Lepisosteus oculatus: one gene and its partner. The protein of the gene in region 2 binds, or shares a complex with, the protein of the main gene of each other region. Links are inferred from orthologs where the notes say so. Each region holds a gene or a part of one and is shown on either strand. Other genes may lie near its edges. The genes, in order: tubgcp5 and tubgcp6.

The links.
Region 1: the proteins of tubgcp6 (region 2) and tubgcp5 are in contact, whole or in part, in a cryo-EM structure (PDB 7QJE), measured with the Homo sapiens proteins. The link is inferred for Lepisosteus oculatus from reciprocal best matches to the Homo sapiens genes TUBGCP6 and TUBGCP5. Residues at the interface, in NP_065194.3 of Homo sapiens: Glu290, Ala291, Ser292, Lys293, Arg294, Arg295, Cys296, Trp297, Glu298, Arg299, Val300, Gly301, Cys302, Pro303, Pro304, His306, Arg307, Glu308, Glu309, Pro310, Tyr311, Leu312, Glu314, Lys322, Arg325, Leu326; in NP_443135.3 of Homo sapiens: Asp211, Asp212, Arg213, Trp215, Leu216, His219, Val220, Val221, His222, Trp225, Ser230, Phe232, Pro233, His234, Leu238, His239, Ser240, Asn241, Leu242, Leu264, Val265, Thr266, Glu267, Thr268, Gln269, Arg272, Val302, Thr303, His304, Leu305.

What each region holds. Positions count from the first base shown.
Region 1 is NC_090710.1:22,063,785-22,072,691, forward strand, and holds the start of tubgcp5 (gamma-tubulin complex component 5), read left to right. Parts: upstream 1-5,672; 5' UTR 5,673-6,176; coding exon 6,177-6,310; intron 6,311-6,525; coding exon 6,526-6,579; intron 6,580-6,687; coding exon 6,688-6,796; intron 6,797-7,180; coding exon 7,181-7,277; intron 7,278-8,454; coding exon 8,455-8,534; intron 8,535-8,907. Other genes in the region: chst7 (carbohydrate sulfotransferase 7), read right to left, coding at 1,047-2,300. UniProt on the Homo sapiens protein: Component of the gamma-tubulin ring complex (gTuRC) which mediates microtubule nucleation.
Region 2 is NC_090702.1:48,760,201-48,768,883, reverse strand, and holds the start of tubgcp6 (gamma-tubulin complex component 6), read right to left. Parts: upstream 3,341-8,683; 5' UTR 3,106-3,340; intron 3,087-3,105; exon of another isoform or gene 2,889-3,086; intron 2,789-2,888; 5' UTR 2,613-2,788; intron 1,797-2,612; 5' UTR 1,721-1,796; coding exon 956-1,720; intron 861-955; coding exon 697-860; intron 221-696; coding exon 7-220; intron 1-6. UniProt on the Homo sapiens protein: Component of the gamma-tubulin ring complex (gTuRC) which mediates microtubule nucleation.

The DNA of each region.
Region 1 (8,907 bases), on a different chromosome or scaffold from region 2:
GTGAATGAACAAAAGCACATCACACAAGCTCATTAATGCTACAAAGAACACACTGAAAGATACTAATAGAACCAACCCAATAACTTCCAGCTAAATTTGTAAATATTGTTGTAATGTCCGGATGTAGATGGGAATTTTTAAAAAATCATGAAAATATGAAGGGAATATTTTTTTAAGGGTCAGCTGAGTCAATGGCCACTTGTGTTTAGTATGGAGATGGGAATTGTGGATTCATATGACATTAGAAGCAGCTCTCTTTATTTTTCCCATCAGATTTGGGACACTGACATTGTAAACACTGCTAATGGGGTGTTGTTAGAAACCCAGTGCTGTATAGAAAAAGAAAATTAAACAGGGAACAAATCTGTTCCTTATGAAAACCAAGCATTACTGTGGTGAGTAATTATAAGGGTGAGACAGGTGTTTGATTTTACCTTGCAGACTGACAATTTATTCTATGAAGGCCGTGTCATGGTTAGGACACAGCTGCCCAGAGAAAAATCTCAAGTAATCAGATATAATTTTAAGAATGCATAGAAAAAAATACAATAGCATCATGTATTAAAAGATGGTTTCAATTTGTGTCATCAGTATAGCTAGATTATTTCCCTCATGATATTAATATGGTCAAAATATGATATGATCAAACTATCCAACCCTACCAAGAAGTCTAAAACTTCCAACTTCCAAAGCTGAAAGGGGAACCAGAAATATTTAGCATTTCTTTTTGCTGTAATAAAATCATTGGATTGTGTTCCTACTCAGTTCAAACAGATTATTATTTTGGATGAGTAGTTGAGAGATTTTTTATTCTTTAAATTGTGATTTACAATTCTTAATTCTTGCAAATAACTTCTGAATTTATAACTTACAATTAAGCCGATACTATTAAATGAATATTAGATCAAATTACAGTTAAAGACAGGGCAGCTATCACTGGTAACACAATAGCAACGTCTGGATGTTCTAACACAATGTATTCATTGTGTATTTATTGGCGAAACGACATATTAATACTGTACCTTTGTTCACATTTTCGTTCGCCTCTATGTTTTGTCCACGTTTGTTTTCTGATACCCCAGCTTACGCATGACCTCGCCGCAATATTTCTCGACTTGAGCGACCTGTTCAACGCTTAACCTCTCTCTCCAAGCGTAAATGGCTTCCTTGGCATCCCTTGACGAAATAAGAAAGGGCCTGTCCGAAGAGTAACCCTCGCCATGGGTCATGTTTATCACGAACTTTTCAATGGCTGGCGAAGAGGTCAGATTGGAGAAACTGTACAGCCTCTTCAGTTCCCGCACTGGGTGTAACACAAGGTCCTCGTAGCGCAGGTGAAGGTAGTTCCTTCTTACCCATTGGGGTGCGTTCATGATGTGCAATATGTCGTTGAGCCAGTTATCGCATATCACCTCCATAGCGGTAGATACATAATTCTCCACTCGCGTGGACCTGTTGGGTATGAGAAGGCGCCTGTATTTTTCCGTCTGTTTCCTGCTTCTCAGCACTTGAATGCTTTCTTTCACCAGTGCCTGTTTAGATTTCAATCTGGAATTGTGGACCGCCCGGGGGTCTCTGAACAGCTGAATCACCTGGAGGTTCAGCCCGGGGTCCCTAATCAAAGGAACCAGGACACCAAGATCCAGGACCCGCACGTCTTTTATGACAACAACGGGATACTTCTTGCACTCTCTCTCTAATTCCCTGATGTCTTTAGGTTGGCACTTGCCGCAGACCTCTCCGTTTATCAGCCCAACGTCGTCTCTCCTGTGAGCACTGCACAGAGGCTCGGAGCAGATCACCTTGTTCGTCTTCCATCCGAAGATAAATGAGGTAGTGAGGTTTTTGTTGCCCGTGTAGAGTTTTAAAACGGAGAAATCGCAGCGGTAGAGGGAGTTCATCATGTCCCTCACCGCTCCTTGGAGACTCCCTGCATCACCCGGGTACAGGGTCTGCCACATATTCCACATGGGTTCATACAAATAAAACACATCAGGATGCTGGTTAAATAACTCCCCTAAAAAAGATGAGCCTGTTCTCCAAGTTGCATGAAGATAAATGTGTGTTTTCGTTTGGCTCCTATTGATAAAATTTTCCACCGTCTCAGATTCGTTGCTGGATTTATCTCCAATATTCCATAACTCCATTGTGGTTTCCAAATCGGGGCATTTTGATAGTGGCAGTTCATTCCGGACCTGAGCTCTTCTATTTCTGTATTCCAACACATAAGGAATGAACAGGAGCAATACGGAGTACACTATAATTAATATGAGATATTTCTTCTGTAGCCTCCTCTTCATTTCCTCAGCGACCGAAGCGCTTAGCGCACTCCTACTGATTTAGCACCCCTACATGAAGCCTGACTCCGGCTTTAGACAAACTTTGAGTTAGAAAAAAAACCGGTATTGTCAATCGCCTCTGAACACGCCCACTGCATTTCAAAATAAGAGCCGATAGTCACGTGTGTCCCCTTTTCGCAAACTATCCATTTTCATTAGAATGGAACTGTATTTTTCCACAAATGTACAAAACGACATAAAAAGAAACTGTCACGGGGAAAATAGCATGTTTTCAGCTACGGGCAGACTTTTGAAATACATGCAATTAAGAAATGTCCGTTTTGAGTTACTTGCCAATAAAAGTCGATGTATTACTAAATCGAGTTAAAACTAAAAAAAATGTTAAAACTATGGAAATCGCTTGAATGAATAAAGTTTGCAGCTGTGTACTTTTCCCTCAAAATTGTTATTGTAATTTACTGCCATCAAGCATTTTGTGACAAATGAAAAGGTTGTGTTTCTGTGTAAGCTACAGAGCTGCACTTATAAAGACATCTATTTCTGAGTGTTGGGTACAATATGCAGGAAACTACGCAAGATTTATAGACTTATTTCTCTTCTTTGTGCAGCATGGCGCTGTAATAAGGTTAACCTGGCATTTTCTTACAGCTGCATCGAAGTGTTTGGGAGCATGGACAACCATCGACAGGACTGTTCACTGAACTTCCAACCTCGGCCAAGTTTCAGTGGTGTAAGCGAAACTTAAATTCCAAAATCCATTTCACATTTGACCAAAGCCCCGTTTAAACAATAGAGTAAGACGTAAACAGCTTAAAACACTGTAAAATCTATTTAGTGTGCAGCCATGCCAATTTATGTGACAAAACCTTGATAAAGCACACAGCTGTCAGAAAAACTGCTCCGAATTCATTCAGATATATCACTTACTCTGGCACAACATTTTAATTACCCTACTGGAGATGTAGCAGATGCACTGTTCTTGGAGAAAAATGCTGTCTTCCTCTGCAAATATACATTTGGACACCCCAACAGATTAGCACCTTGTCAACTAACAAACATTTTTCCACATATTTAATCCAATTAAATGAGAGATTTGTAGGCTCGTGTATTTTCTTTAAGTATTCTAAACTAGCTGTATATATGGTACAATATTCCCCCTTGACCTTGTGTGCTTACAAAAACGTTTGATCTTTTAATACAGAATTACCAGAGTTACATTAAACGGGACTTTAAAAAAAAACAATTTTTAGTTTTAATAAGAAACATGTATCTGAAGCACTGAACTCAAAATGTTCTTGTTGAATGCGCATATTGTACATATCTTCAAATTCGCATTGTCTTCATCTTGTTGCCTTTGTACTATAGTAAATTAGCAATAGCAATAAACAGTGAAGTTACTGATGCTGTTTGTTCTACTTTCTAAACATGACCTTTTCTCACAGAATATTACATGTACTGTAGATAAAGAGCACAAGGGGTAGATATGGAAGCTCAATTTTCTAACTGGCTAAGGTATGCCTAAAACCAGAATTTCAACCCACATATCATTGGAAATAGATAAATATGTCCTGTTTTCGTAGTTTCCTGTTCTACCAGGGTATCTACACAAAGGAATGCCACCATCACATGCTTCATTTGGAGATGATTTTGGAGTTTCAATTCACTTTCATATGAAGGAATTTTATTTTTCTATGCTGAAGTCTTGAAGGTGCCATATAATGTGTTTGCAAAACAATAGTTACTTAGTTTTTTTAAACGCTTAAAATGTATAATGACAAAATACAGAAGTAAACAACAAGAGATTGTAGGCATTGCTATAAAAATCAGAAAATAGTCATATACTGTCGATATCACGTGTAATCACATTATATATTTTATCTCAAAAATGCAACGTGCTTCGTGTTATATCTCCGATTTGGAAACATCATCTTTTATAAGATAAGATAACTTTATTGGCCATATACAATTTCTTGTATTAGGAATTTGTCTTTTCACATACCCCAGCTTGCGCTCCGTGAGACACACAGACAGAGAGAGAAGCTTGAGGTCAGAGCACAGGGTCATCCATTTATATGGCGCCCCTGGAGCAGTTGGGGTGAAAGGCCTTGCTCACGAGCCCAACGGAGTAGGATTTCTCTACCGGCCGCGGGATACGAACCGGCAACCTTCCAGCCACAGGCACAGATCCTTGCAGATGGCCCAGATTAAACCCAGACGTCACTTCAGAGTGTCATTTGTATGGAAATAGGATTTTAGGGAGTAGTCTGTGTAGCTTTTCAATAGACAGGCCTTACTTGACTAATGTGTTAGGTTTATGTGTAAAAACAACAGGAACATACAGAGCATATGAGACAGTATATTTACATTTTCAGGAAGCCTTTACTCACAAAATTGCTTTTGGTAGGCATTCAGGGTAATGTGTATGATTAGAGTGAAAATTGTTTAATGAATAGAAAACTAAGAATAAAGATAAGAGCTGAATACTCCAACTGAGGAATGTAATTAGCCTGTGGTGATCTATTTAAGGATCTGTCGTCTTTCTAATTTATATCAACAACCTAGATTCTGGTGAAGTTCTAGTTATTTAGCTAGTCAGGTTTGCAAAACCAAATTAGAACAAGCCGCAAACCCTGTAAAAGTAAAGAAAAGTCTGGACTGGGCTCACACTAGGAAGATGATATCTAATATAGACAAGTGCAGAGAGATACATGCAATGAAAAGAACCATAAACTGTACATGTGAGATGGGGAGCAACCTGCAGAAGCTGTGAAAAAGCCTTAGGTGTCTCTGCTAACACATGCTTTATGTTTTCTAGACAAGGAAATGATAAAAAAAAACAAAGAGACGTTTAGATTACTTAGTTAAAAGTGTAAGATTTAAATTGAGGGATGTTATATTAAAATTGGAAAATGCACTGAATGTAAGATCATAATTTAGAAGACTGTATAAAGTTTTGGTAACTCTGTTACAAAAGAGATATTTATGTTTTGGAACCAGCTCTGAAAAGAGCCACCAGATTCCTTTTTCAGGCTTAAAGAAATGGCCGTGGCTGACAGGCTAAAGGATCTGCGTCTTGTCATTCCAGAGAAGACTAGAATTCTATTTTCTGGAAGTCTTAAAAATGATCATGAAGCAGAATACAAATACAAAATGAAGAAAAAAAAACACTTTAAAATTTGGAAATAACAGAAAAGGGCGTAAAATACACAATATGGCTAAAGAATATACATAACATGTCCTTATTTGGTAAGAATCAAAATTACACTTAAGATTTTGCTTTATGTTTCTCAGGTCTCTGCTTGTAAAGAAGTCGACGTCTACACGTGCTGTTTCTAGTCTTCGCTTTTCCAGGGAAAGTAACTGCTCGGCCAACAGAAACACAGAGGAGGGAGGTTCGGTTGGTAGGAGCCGCTGTACACAGCAGTGATGGCGGAGTCAAAACAATTCTGTATTCAACAGAGAAGTAGCCTTTGTATGATACATAATTAAAAATAAACAGTTAAATAAGAACAAATCGTTTATAGCCGATATCGGGATATTTAACTGTTGCATGCTTTTAAGCGAAGGATGCTGTACATCTAAGCTACGCAAAGCAAAAACAAGCGATTTCTGATAGTGTGATTGAACACAGTTCGTACTCGTATTTATTGTAAGCAATAATTTCGAGTTGGATGTATCGTCTCATGTAGTTTATGGTTTTAAGCTGTATTGGTTGTGCTCAACTCAAAGCCTATCCCTTCTGCATACTTTGACCACACATACGAGAGAGTCCGGATGATCGTGCCTAACGTTTACAGTAGAGTAGTATATATAGTCTGTATAGTATAGTCTATAACTATAGAAACTGGCACCGGAGGTCCCTTACTTAGCATCACAATGGCTCACTGGACGAAATTTGAAAAAGATTTGGAAATCGATACGAAGAGGCTAATAAAGCTCATCAGTGGGATACAGGATGAAGAAGACCAGAATTTCCAGATGGCATTAAAGTTTGCCTGGACCAATTTCAGGTGAGGGTTTCATGAGTGATCCCAAGGCTCGGGCCTGAATTCACATGGCAGAGGAATGTATTTGCTGCAGTCTTCATTCTCAAAGGCTGGCTTTGTCACTGACAGTACGTTTGTGAGAGGGACTAAAAGATCCGTCTTCACATTGAGTTGTAGTTCTTTTGCCATATATGAACCAAGACACTGACAAAAGCATTGTTATGTGTTTAAATTTGCAGGTTCCATCGATACTTAGATGTCAACAGTCACAAGGTGCAGCGTACAATCAGTGGGTAAGTTCAGTCGATCAAGCAGATTAAATATTCTTCTTTCTGAGGAGATTCTGAAGATCAAGACAAAGCGCCTACAAGAATGTGACACTTTTTTCCTTTTTGTTTCAGAATCCATGAAAAGCTAATAATTCACTCAGATCTGAGCAAAGCTACAAGCTGGAAACGACTGACTGAAGAATTTCTGAATGCACATCTTCCAAACACAGAAGGAACAAAAGTGATAGATTGTTATACATCTTGTGAACTAAACAGCTTGTTTCTAAGATTTAAGATTTAAGATGTGATAAGATTTATTGTCCATTGAGGGAATTTGTTTGTGGACATCAACAACAACAAAATTGAGCATCACTCTATTGCACATTTATAACACATAATAACATATAACATATATAACATTACAAAACATGTTGCACACAAGTGGATTGTAACGATAAAACAATGTTTATCCTTGCCATTTGCATTGACAGCTTTAATGGAAAGTGGAACAAAGGAATGTTTGTATCTGTTTGACTTACATTTGAGAACCCTAAAACGTTGTTGAAATGCGCTAAACTAAAAACAAGAAAATTAAAAAAGCATTTTTTCTCTTTTTTTTTTGCAGACAGAAACCCATCACAGTATCCTAGCTCTCCTACTCTATCTTTCTGATTCTCCTTCCAACACAGATTACACTGAGAGGCCACGGCTGAAGGATGCTGGTAAGTTAATGGACATTAACATAGCCACAATGAGTAACTGGTGTTCACACAACACAAACTTTGTGTTTTGTGGCCTTTTTATTATCTCTGTATTTTCCGTAATAATATATCTTAATACCCAGTATACTACTGGAATAAAGATGAAGCATCAGCACACAATTAACTCTATAAAACATGATAGGTGTTATTCATCTGGCAGAATGTTGCAATAATTGAGTCGTCAGTTTAATTCTGTGCCAAATGTTAATCTAACACCTGTGAATATGGTGCTTTCTATGATAGTCTTAGTTGCTGTATCTTAGATTTGGCATTTTGACTATCCTAATACACACCTTTGAGAGACAAATTCCCATGAGCCATTACAATGAAGAAGTGTGCACAAATAATACAGTACATTTATCATCTGCATGTCACTAATTGATTTCCCCAAAGCATGCTGTCTCATTCTGACTCAGCATATTACCTAGACTTTTTGGAGTTGTTTGTTTGTCTGGGGGAACTATGAGCACTAACAATAACAGAGGCTCTTCTGAGATGCACAGCAAAGTAAACAACGGTAACATTTACATAATAAGAACACCTCCTGTAAGATTCATTGTTCTGACAATGAAGGTTTTGTTTTAAACAGCAGTACCAAAAGCGCAACTAATTCCAAAAATCTTTGAATAATTTGGAGCTCCTGATTCCAATATTCAGGATTTAAATGTTTGTTTGAAATGCATGCCAGTTTTGAATTTTTAAAAACTTTGGATGGAGATAGTACCCATCTCCAGGCAGCAGTGTGGAGTAGTGATTATGGTTATGGACTCCTTACTGCAATGTTTTGGGTTGAAAGGTCAGCTGCTTTTGTGCGCTTGAGCATGGAATTTCAGATCACTTCAGTGAAATCCCCAGCCGTACAAATGTAAGTTACTTTGGACATAGCGTGTGTTAAAAAATACGTTAATCTCTGGGATACATTTCATGAACTCTCCTGTGGCTTCATATTACCATTTACAGAGTGAGCATTCTCCTGAAGAAATAAAATCTTCTGAATCTTTAATCTGCACTCCCAGTTGTTTGAAATAAACCTTAAGATCTGTCAAATGTCAGAGCTGCTATTTCATTTTCACATTTTCTGTTTCATATTGCTTTCTGATTTTTGATAAAACATTCGAATTTATTTTATTTTTTCAAGAAAAAGAAGACAATTTTGACTGGGGTAAATATTTGATGGAAGGAGAAGATATTGACATGGGCCCTTTTCCAGACACTCCTGTAAGTGAAAGGATACTAGTTTTCTTAAATCCTTACTGCCTTATTCAATAGCTGGCTTGCACTATTCATTACTGAAAATACTTTCTTGCAGAACTTATAGGAATGTTTCTCAAACCGATCAAGCTTCAGCTAATGTCAAAAGTATTTATGCTGTTAAAAGGTACAAAGAAAATACTTTCAATAATTTCCAATTATTTTTCATGAAAGGCAAGAATTAAAGTTAGGTTTCATTTTAATGCAGGAATTTCTGCAAAAAAAAAAGATTTTATTCTATAGTCCTGCCACCTCTTTCCCTAGACTTCAATCCCATTGAGATTCGGTGGGTTGACTTGTAGGCTGGTATCAAAAAGAAGAAGTCAAAACTGCCTGCAAA
Region 2 (8,683 bases):
CGGTACCTGGTCGAGGGGGAAGGTTGTGGAAGCCACTCCGATCAGGACGTTGAGCACGTCGGTGACCAGCTGGGTCTGGGTGTGAAGGGGCAGAGGGGAGGGCGGCAGGGCAGCCGCAGTGCTCAGGAGCTGCAGACCCCCCTCCCGCAGCTGGTACAGCTGGTCGAACGCCTCCCGTCCGGCTTCCGACAGGTAGGGCAGCTCCTTCCTCCCGGGGGGGCTGGACAGGGAGAAAGGCAGAAAGACACGTGCACAAAGAGGAGGAAAGGCAGGGACAAAGAGTGGTGGGAGAGGTGAACAGAAGAAATGTGCATCACAACAACTGCCTGGTGTACCACAGAACCCACCAGGTTACAAACTCAGCTAGCCCACTCCAGTCCGTCCAGTCAGCCCTTCTCCTGTGGCCTTGTCCCTCCTGAAACCTAGCAGATCTCACGTCAGCCCCTCGCCAACATCCCACAGAGTCTCAGCTCCCACTGCTTAACTCCCTCCCCAGACTGCTGCGAGCACAAACACCATCTCCGCCATCCCCTTCTGGAGCTAGGACGCCCTATAGACATCTGCACTAACGCCCTTCTTTCACCTTCCGCACTCCTCTGCGTCTGAGTCTCGTTGCCCTCAGTGCAAAAGGCCTTCCCCTCTCCTGCCCTGTACTGCCCTCACTGGGGTATCTGCCCTCTCTGCCCCCCCCCTTACCAGCCGATCCCCTCCCAGCAGCGCCGGCGGCCCGGCTCGAAACTCCGCAGCGCCTCCCACACGTCCGGCTCCGGGCTGGGGCTCGGCTCGGACTGCGAATCTGGCGTCAGGTTTGAGGCAGACTGGAACCCCTCGTCCTCGGACTGGTCAAGACTCGGGGGGACCTGGGGTGGGGTGGGAGCAGCGGAGAACGGGTCAGACGGGCCGATCCGCACGCGCGCGAGACGACGGGCCGCGGCGCGCCCAGCGGAGCTCTCACCCGGATGGCCAGCCCCGTGAGCTCGGCGTTGCTGGGCACCGGGGGCAGGTCCAGACGGATCTCCATGTCAGAGGTCCGGGTGTGCTGCAGGGCTCCAAACAGCGAGAGGCGCGTCTCCTTCTCGTAACGCTCCCTGCCCTCCCCCGCCCTGCCCAGCGCCAGCAGGCCCGTGCCCGTGCCGGGGGGCGCCTCCATCAGGCCCAGGGTGGTGCAGAGACCCCCCAGGGCCCCCCACTCCTCCCCACACACCAGGGCCCAGGCCTCTGCTTCCAGCCGCCACAGCTCGGCACTATCGTAGCCGGCCAGCGGGGGGCGCCGCAGCACGGGCCTCTCCCTCCGCATGAAGTCGCGGCTGTAGGAGGGGGCGGGGGGGGGCGCGGAGCCCGCCAGCTGGACCAGGAGCTCCAGCACGGAGTCCAGCCCCCCCGGCGCCCCCCCCAGCCGCCCCAGCAGCTCCTCCAGCTGCGCGGCCTCCTGGCAGCAGCCCGCCACGCGCAGGTCGAACGCCAGCATCAGCACCTTGTTCCGGGGGGGCGTGGCGGGCGGGGGCGGGGGGCGGCGCGGGGCCCCGCCGCCGCCGGGGGGGGGCTCTCGGAAGAGGCGGGACAGCAGGGCCCCGTAGGCGCGCCGCCGCAGGGCCCGCCGCGCTGCCTCGCGGCCCCCCCGCCACGCGCGCGGCTTGCACGCCCCTCCCGCCAGGTGGGCGTCGCACAGGGCGCCCAGCAGCTCCGTGATGCTGCAGCTGCCGCCGGAGACGCCGGCCATGGCGCTCCCTCCCGCTGGGCTGGCGGCCGCGGTGACGCACTCCCGGCCTGCAGGGGGCAGCGCAGGCACAACGCACCTGCAGAAACAAGGACAGGCGCTAAACCAGCGGGGTTCACAGGGGTGCTGTCGCGCATGCCAAAGCCCAGAGCTTCTACATGGTGCTCCAAAAGAGCGCTTCAGACTCTGGTCTTCTGGTGGATAATCGCTTCTCAATATAGCGCACTAGTCACGCAGGGTATGTAAAGCAGGTGGCAGGGCAGTTAGCATTGGCCCTGGGCTCAGTTTCTGGGGTGCCGTCTGTGTGGAGCTTGTATGTTCTCCCTGTGTTCACAAAGGTTTCCTCTGGGTGCTCCAGCTTCCTCCCACAGTCTAAGGACATGCTGGAGGGTTAATTGGCTTTTGAGAAAAGCGTCCCTAGAGTAAGTGAGTGTGTGTCTGAGTCTGTGGGTGCCCTGTGATGGACTGGTGTCCTGTCCAGGGTGTATCCTGTCTTGTGCCTGTTGCTTGCTGTTCGACTGGGACAGTCTCCAGCTCCACTGTCACCCTGAATTGGAAGAAACATGCTGCACTGCTGTGAAATGACACTACATACACACACACACTACATCAGGCCTAGAGACTTCACGAACGACAGAAACTCTTATGTGACCACTAACTGGTTTCTGAAAAGCACACTGCACTTTGGGTGCATTACAGATATTTTATTCCCCACGGTTCTGAGGCACCTGATGTGTCCTGACTGCGTTTCATAAGATCACTCTAAAAGTTACAATGTTTGCATGTTTAAAAACGGGTTTCCTGAGTTCAAAGGAAATAATTTTAACGTCTTTGTTCAATTACACGATTGTGAGGGGAAAATGTATATAATGACTAGAAAACAATGGCAATTTACCCAGGTTTCCCAAAACGTATCTGTTCTCTCGTATACCCTCTGGTGATGTATGCGCACCAACAAGTCCGTGCAAGTAGGGTACTGTTGCCGTTTTCTGTCCCGGGCAGCAGTACATTCTGATGATGCCGGCTAAATCCAATTCTTTGCTTTTGGAGCCTTAAATCTGAACCTGAATTCTGTAGTGTTAACACAAAAGATGTTCTAGTAATTTCTAAGAAATCGCGCCAGAAAGAAGCGATAAATCTATGACACAAGAGCACGAACACCGATACCTACCAAGATCCGATACTCACTGCAAGGGCACTCAACATCAAGGTATCAATCAGCACATCATCTTTTGCGCCAAATGAACGATACATTACACTCGATCTTAGCCAAAAGGCCGAGAAGCGAATATGCGAAAGCGGAAATCGTTAAATGAACGATACATTGATCACAATCACTTAACCTGAACAATCGTTGAGATGCATTAACGGAACCCATTGAATCATACCTGCTGTAGTGCTACGATGCTCCGATTTTGGTTACTATTTTACCAATCAAGGTCCCAGTGTGGATTAACATTGAGACGAGACCGGGCACAGCTATTATAATTTAACTGATCTCCTCATTTCATTAACCTTTAAGCTGTTTTATGGAAGGCAAAAAAAAAACAACAACACATTTATTAATACAGACAACTGTATCCACAATCCCTATCACTTTATTTTCCTTAACTACCGCTCAGCCTCCACTTGGCCCGCCCACTCTGAGACTTCATTGGTCTGAAGCGAATGAGGCCGATGTTCGATTGGGTAATAAATGATGACGCCAGGTTTGGGTTTTTTCAGCAATTTCCGCTCTCTTTTCTGCGTTCTCATTGGACGGGAAAGCGCTGTCACTCTTCCCGTATCCCGTATTCCTATTGGCTGATCTTTGGCCTCCCGCCACTTCAATGGCCAGGCTACTTTCGCAACCATTTCCCCCGCAGTGACAGTTATAAGTTAACCCGCCTCCGCCACTTCTGCAAAAAACAAAAATCCTATGTGTTTGCATAGCAAGAGCAACCTCTCTACCAGCTGCTGTCAGTCACTGGTTTTAGCGTTGAGGAATTAATTAGTGTTAGCAGGGACAGGTATTCACAAATTAAAGCAGTCGTTCAGATTCGCAATAATCTTTTTTTAGGAACAAGTAGTAGGTTTATTCCATGCTGAAAAGAAGGGAGAAAGAAAACACAACGTTTCGGCCGTGAAGGCTTCTTCAGGTGTGAGAAAGACAAGGCAGTAAGCAAAGGTAATGTAGCGGGAGAACAAAAGCTGAGAGAGGAGCCGTGTGCAGAGAAAAACCCCTAACAATGGGTGCAGGGCCGAATTAGGCCAGTACCCACTATTGATAAACATACAGAAAAGAGTATTAAAGTATTGGCTACACCTAAAAAAACAGCGACCAAAATTCCTACCACCACAAAACCCTGCTGAGCCCAAAACAGAGCCCCCTGAGCCAGCTGGTCCTGAGTCTCACCGACCTGAGCCACACCAACCCTAACCAGCCTCAGGACAGCACTGCTAGAGCACCACAACCCAGACTCAACCACATCACAGCACAGATCAGACAGCAATATCTCACACACTGGGACACACACACAACATAAACTGGAATGCTACAGAACCCTAAACAGACAATACACACTAGCCGAATATTTGACCAAGATAAGAAACAGCAAAAAGAAACAGACCCTGACGAAGTACAGGCTCAGTGACCACAGCCTGGCCATAGAAACTGGGCGACACAGGCAGACCTGGCTGCCCAGAGAGGACAGGCTGTGCTCCCACTGCCAGCAGGGAGAAATGGAGACAGAGGTGCACTTCCTACTGCACTATGACAGATTCTCTGGGATTAGAGAAACATTCTTCCCTAAATTCAGAAATCTAATCCCAGAGTTCCCACACCTGCTAGAATCACAACAGATCCCAATCCTACTGGGAGAGGGAGGAGGGAACTCAGTTGAACTGGCAGCCCAGTATGTGATCTCCTGTCACAGCCTGAGGAACAGTGAGTCTGTCTCCCAGTAATGCTCAACATGTTTACAGTATATGAAAATATTTTATATGTCTTTGTTGTAAATGTCTGTAGATTTTTTTTTACTTTTATTTTTTTTGTTCCATGTGTATTTTATTTGCTTTGGCAACACTGATTGTAACCATCGGTCATGCTAATAAAGCACCTTGAATTGAATTGAATTGAGGGGCGGGAGCAGGGGACAGAAAGAGAGGCCAATCAGGAGGTGTGAAGTCAGGATAGATGTAGAGAGTTGTGAAATGAAACCTCCAATGAATAGAGAGAATTTAGAAGAAAAGTAGTCTGTCGTTAAGAGAAGGGGGAAGGTGTGATCCTAGCTGCAGGATAATTTTGCTTTCTGTAGTCTTTCTGATGTATGAGTTCGGAAAACCACCTTTGAGAACACAGACAGAGAGATTAGAGTGGTCGTGGCCGTAAGAGGTGAAATGAGAAACAATGGGCTTGGAGAGATCTTTAATCTTTAAAGCCCTGATGTTCTCTGAAGCGGTCTCCGAGTCTCCTTCCTGTTTCCCCAATGTAGATGGCTGGGCATTTACTGCAAGAGATACAGTAAATAAGGTTGCTGGAGGTACAAGATGCCATCTGGGTGATCCGGAATTGTCCTGAGGGGCCTTGAATGAGTGTGGTGGTGGATGTGTACTTGCAGGTGATACAGCGAGCTCTGTTGCAAGGGAAAGTGCCTGGTGTGGATGGTTGCTGAGGGCGGTCAAGGGAGCTGTGAACAAGAAGGTTGCGCAGATTAGGTGCTCAGCGATATGAGATGATAGGGTGATCAGAAAAGAGGGGCCCAATGGAGGGATCATCCTGTAGGATGGAGAAGTTGATGTTAATAGTCCTGGGGATAGGAAGTGTGTTGGGGTGGTAGGGAAGCACCAAGGGAATGCGGTTGTTACGGCGGGAGTTCCTGATTGAGTTGATGGTCCAAGGAGTGTTTTTGGCTCGGGCAAGGGCCCTGTCAATCACACTGCTGGGGTATCCTCTGTTGATAAGAAAGGAGCACATTTCGAGGGCTTGGTTCTGGAAGTCGATGTCGTCGCTGCACAATCGTCGTAGCCGAAGGAACTGTGAAAAAGGGAGAGAGTTTTTAGTGTGTCTGGGGTGAAATTAGCTATACAGGAGATAGCTGTGTGAATCCGTGGGTTTGTAATAAATAAAAAGTGCAGAGTCGGGGGTAGTTGATGGAGAAGTTGATGTCTAGAAACGGCAGAGTAGTGGAAGATGTTAACCGTATATTTGAGGGACGGGTGGAAGTTGGTGAAATGATGCAGGAAGCACTCAAGCTGGTCGTTAGAGCATGTGGCAGCACCGACGCAGTCATCAATATATCGCTTGTAGATGCCACAGCCAGTGTAGGAAGCGAAGAAGCGTTCTTCTACCAAGCAGACACAAATATTGGCGTAGCTGGGTCCCATTCTGGTGCCCATGGCAACTCCACTCACCTGTTTATTATTGAAAGAGAATGCGTTCAGTGTGAGGACCAATTCCGCAAGGCGTACCAGGGTGTGGGTGGGTGGATCAAGCACTGTGCGTTTGTCCAGCGTGTGCTTGAAGGCTGTAAGGTCGTCATTATGGGGAATGACGGTGTAGAGAGATGTGATGTCCATGGTAAAAATGTAGCATTCGGTGCCCTGAAATTGGAAATCATCAAAAAGTTGGTGCGCGTGGTTGGTGTCCTTGATGTATGAGGGAAGACCTTCAACCAGCGGTCTCATGAGGCTGTCGAGAAAGGCCGAGATGCAAGTAGTCAGACAGCTGCATGCTGATACGATGGGGCGTCCAGGGGTGTCTGGTTTGTGGATTTTGGGGAGGAGGCAAATTGAGACCTGCGGATGTTCAATGGGGTTCAACGGTTCTTCTCCTGGGGGAGCTCCTTACTGCCGATAAGAAGGGAGATGGTGGATACCACTTCTTCCTGGTAGTCAGTGGTAGGGTCCTGTTGGAGAGGGAGGTAGGCAGAAGTGTCAGTTAGTTGTCTAGAGGCTTCAAAGATATATAGATCCTTACGCCACACCACAACAGCGCCTCCTTTGTCCGCTGGTTTGATGACGATATCATCCCTCTTGTGGAGAGACTGGAGCGCCTGATTTTCTCCTTGGGTGAGGTTGGACCTGTGTTTACTGGGTATAGAGAGTGTCTTGGGAGCTTGATTGGTGCATTGGTTAATGAAATAATCGACTGGTGGAAAACGGCCAGAGGGGGGAGTCCAACAGCTCTGTTTGGGATTAATGTTGTTAATGACATCAATAACTGGGTTGTTATCAGCTGCCTGTGAAGAGGAATCGTCAGCAAAATGTGCTCCGAGACGGATCCTGCGGTAAAAGCGGTTAAGGTCGACATTGGTCTGGGAATGTCCAGCTTCCTGGGAACTGGTACAAAACTGAGCCCTTTGCTGAGGAGGGATCGCTCATCCTGTGAAAGGGAAATGTCAGAAGGTATGGTGACAACAAGGTTAGGATTGGTGAAGGTGTTTGGGGTGTTGATGGTTTTCTTCTGTAGAAGATGACTGAGTTTTTTATCCTTCTCTGTAGTGAGAAACTGGTCGAGTTTAGAGTTGAGAGATCTAATGAGGTTAGTTATAAAGGGAAGATGATGTTGAGCCGTCAGCCGTAGAAATTCCTTAGCCTCTTTGATGCTGTTGTCGGAAAGGGTAATCTGTTTTTTGAGGGAGAAAATAATCATTTTTAGTCAATTGAGAACACGTTTTCAGTTTCATTTTGGTGGAGTCATTAGATTTGAGAACACAGTGGTCCTGTACTGGACGCCAGGAATTAATGTAAAATGGGTTGTTACTTCATCACTGCTGGTCTTAGTGGCGGGGGGTGACGATGAGGGTTCAGGCAGTCAATTACGGACGTTTTGAATGAATGAACGATAGCAGCCGTTATCCATAGCTACCCTGACAGGATGAGGGCGTGTGGCAGATCGTACGCGTGCCTGTCTGTCATTCTGCAGAGGGGTGACGGGCCAGTCACAGGGCACGCCCTGCCGGTTGTGACGTAGCCACACTGCCCGGTGCGCGAATCCAATAACGGCAGCTGGTCAGCTCGCGGGTTCACGGTTTGGACCCTGTTAGGAGTCTTGGTTAGAAGGCCGTGTTCTCTCGTTTTTAAGAGCTGTTTATCCGGCACTTTGGAGAAATAGACCTCCCACCTCCACCTAGTTTCTGCTTGTGGCCCCTGAGCGAGGCAGATGAAAATGTGGATACAGCTTTAACGCGCCGAGGGACACAGACGCACTGAGCAGCTGCAGACCTTTCTCAACAAACTGGAGAAACTGCAAAATACTTCTTGTAGTTAGATTGGGTGCTCAGCTTTCAAAGGGTCAAAGGAACACACCGGCATTAATCCTGGCTTGTGCTCGGTCAGTCTCGTTCACCTTCACATATTTTGTGTCTGTCACACTTGAAGAAGTAAACCTGCGCTACACTTGATTCTTACTCGAACAGTCTCGTGTATACAACAGATGTGTAACGCTTTGGTTAATCCATAGAACTAATATGAATATTAACATTTAATTCAGTTTTTATTCTTGTCATGTGACTTTTCTAAAATTTCAATACTCTGAGGTGACATACTGGTTAAACAAAACAGCTACAGATCACCAAATGCAGATATTAGAATTCATTGCTATGTAATGTAAATCAGAGTTTATGTGCAAAAGAAGTGTTTTTAATGGGTGACTTCAACTTCCCCCCCATTAGAATGGGAAAATCCTGATGAACTGTCTGCAGCAGAAACCAAATGACATGGTTAATAACCGTCTTAGTTTGACGCAGCTCTCACAAGAGTACTGTACATCTTTTCAAGCAATGAAGAGGGAGCCAAGCAGAGGTGAAACAACCATTAGGGATCTGGGAAGTATACTTTGAAACTGTACAGCTTGGATTCAAGTCCAAGTTCAAGTTCATTTCAGGGAAGCAGGCTGAAGGAATGGGACAGAGCAAAAGAAGATAGACAGGATAGATATGGATGGCAGCATGATTCTGTTTGAAGTGCCGAACAACTCCTGTATAT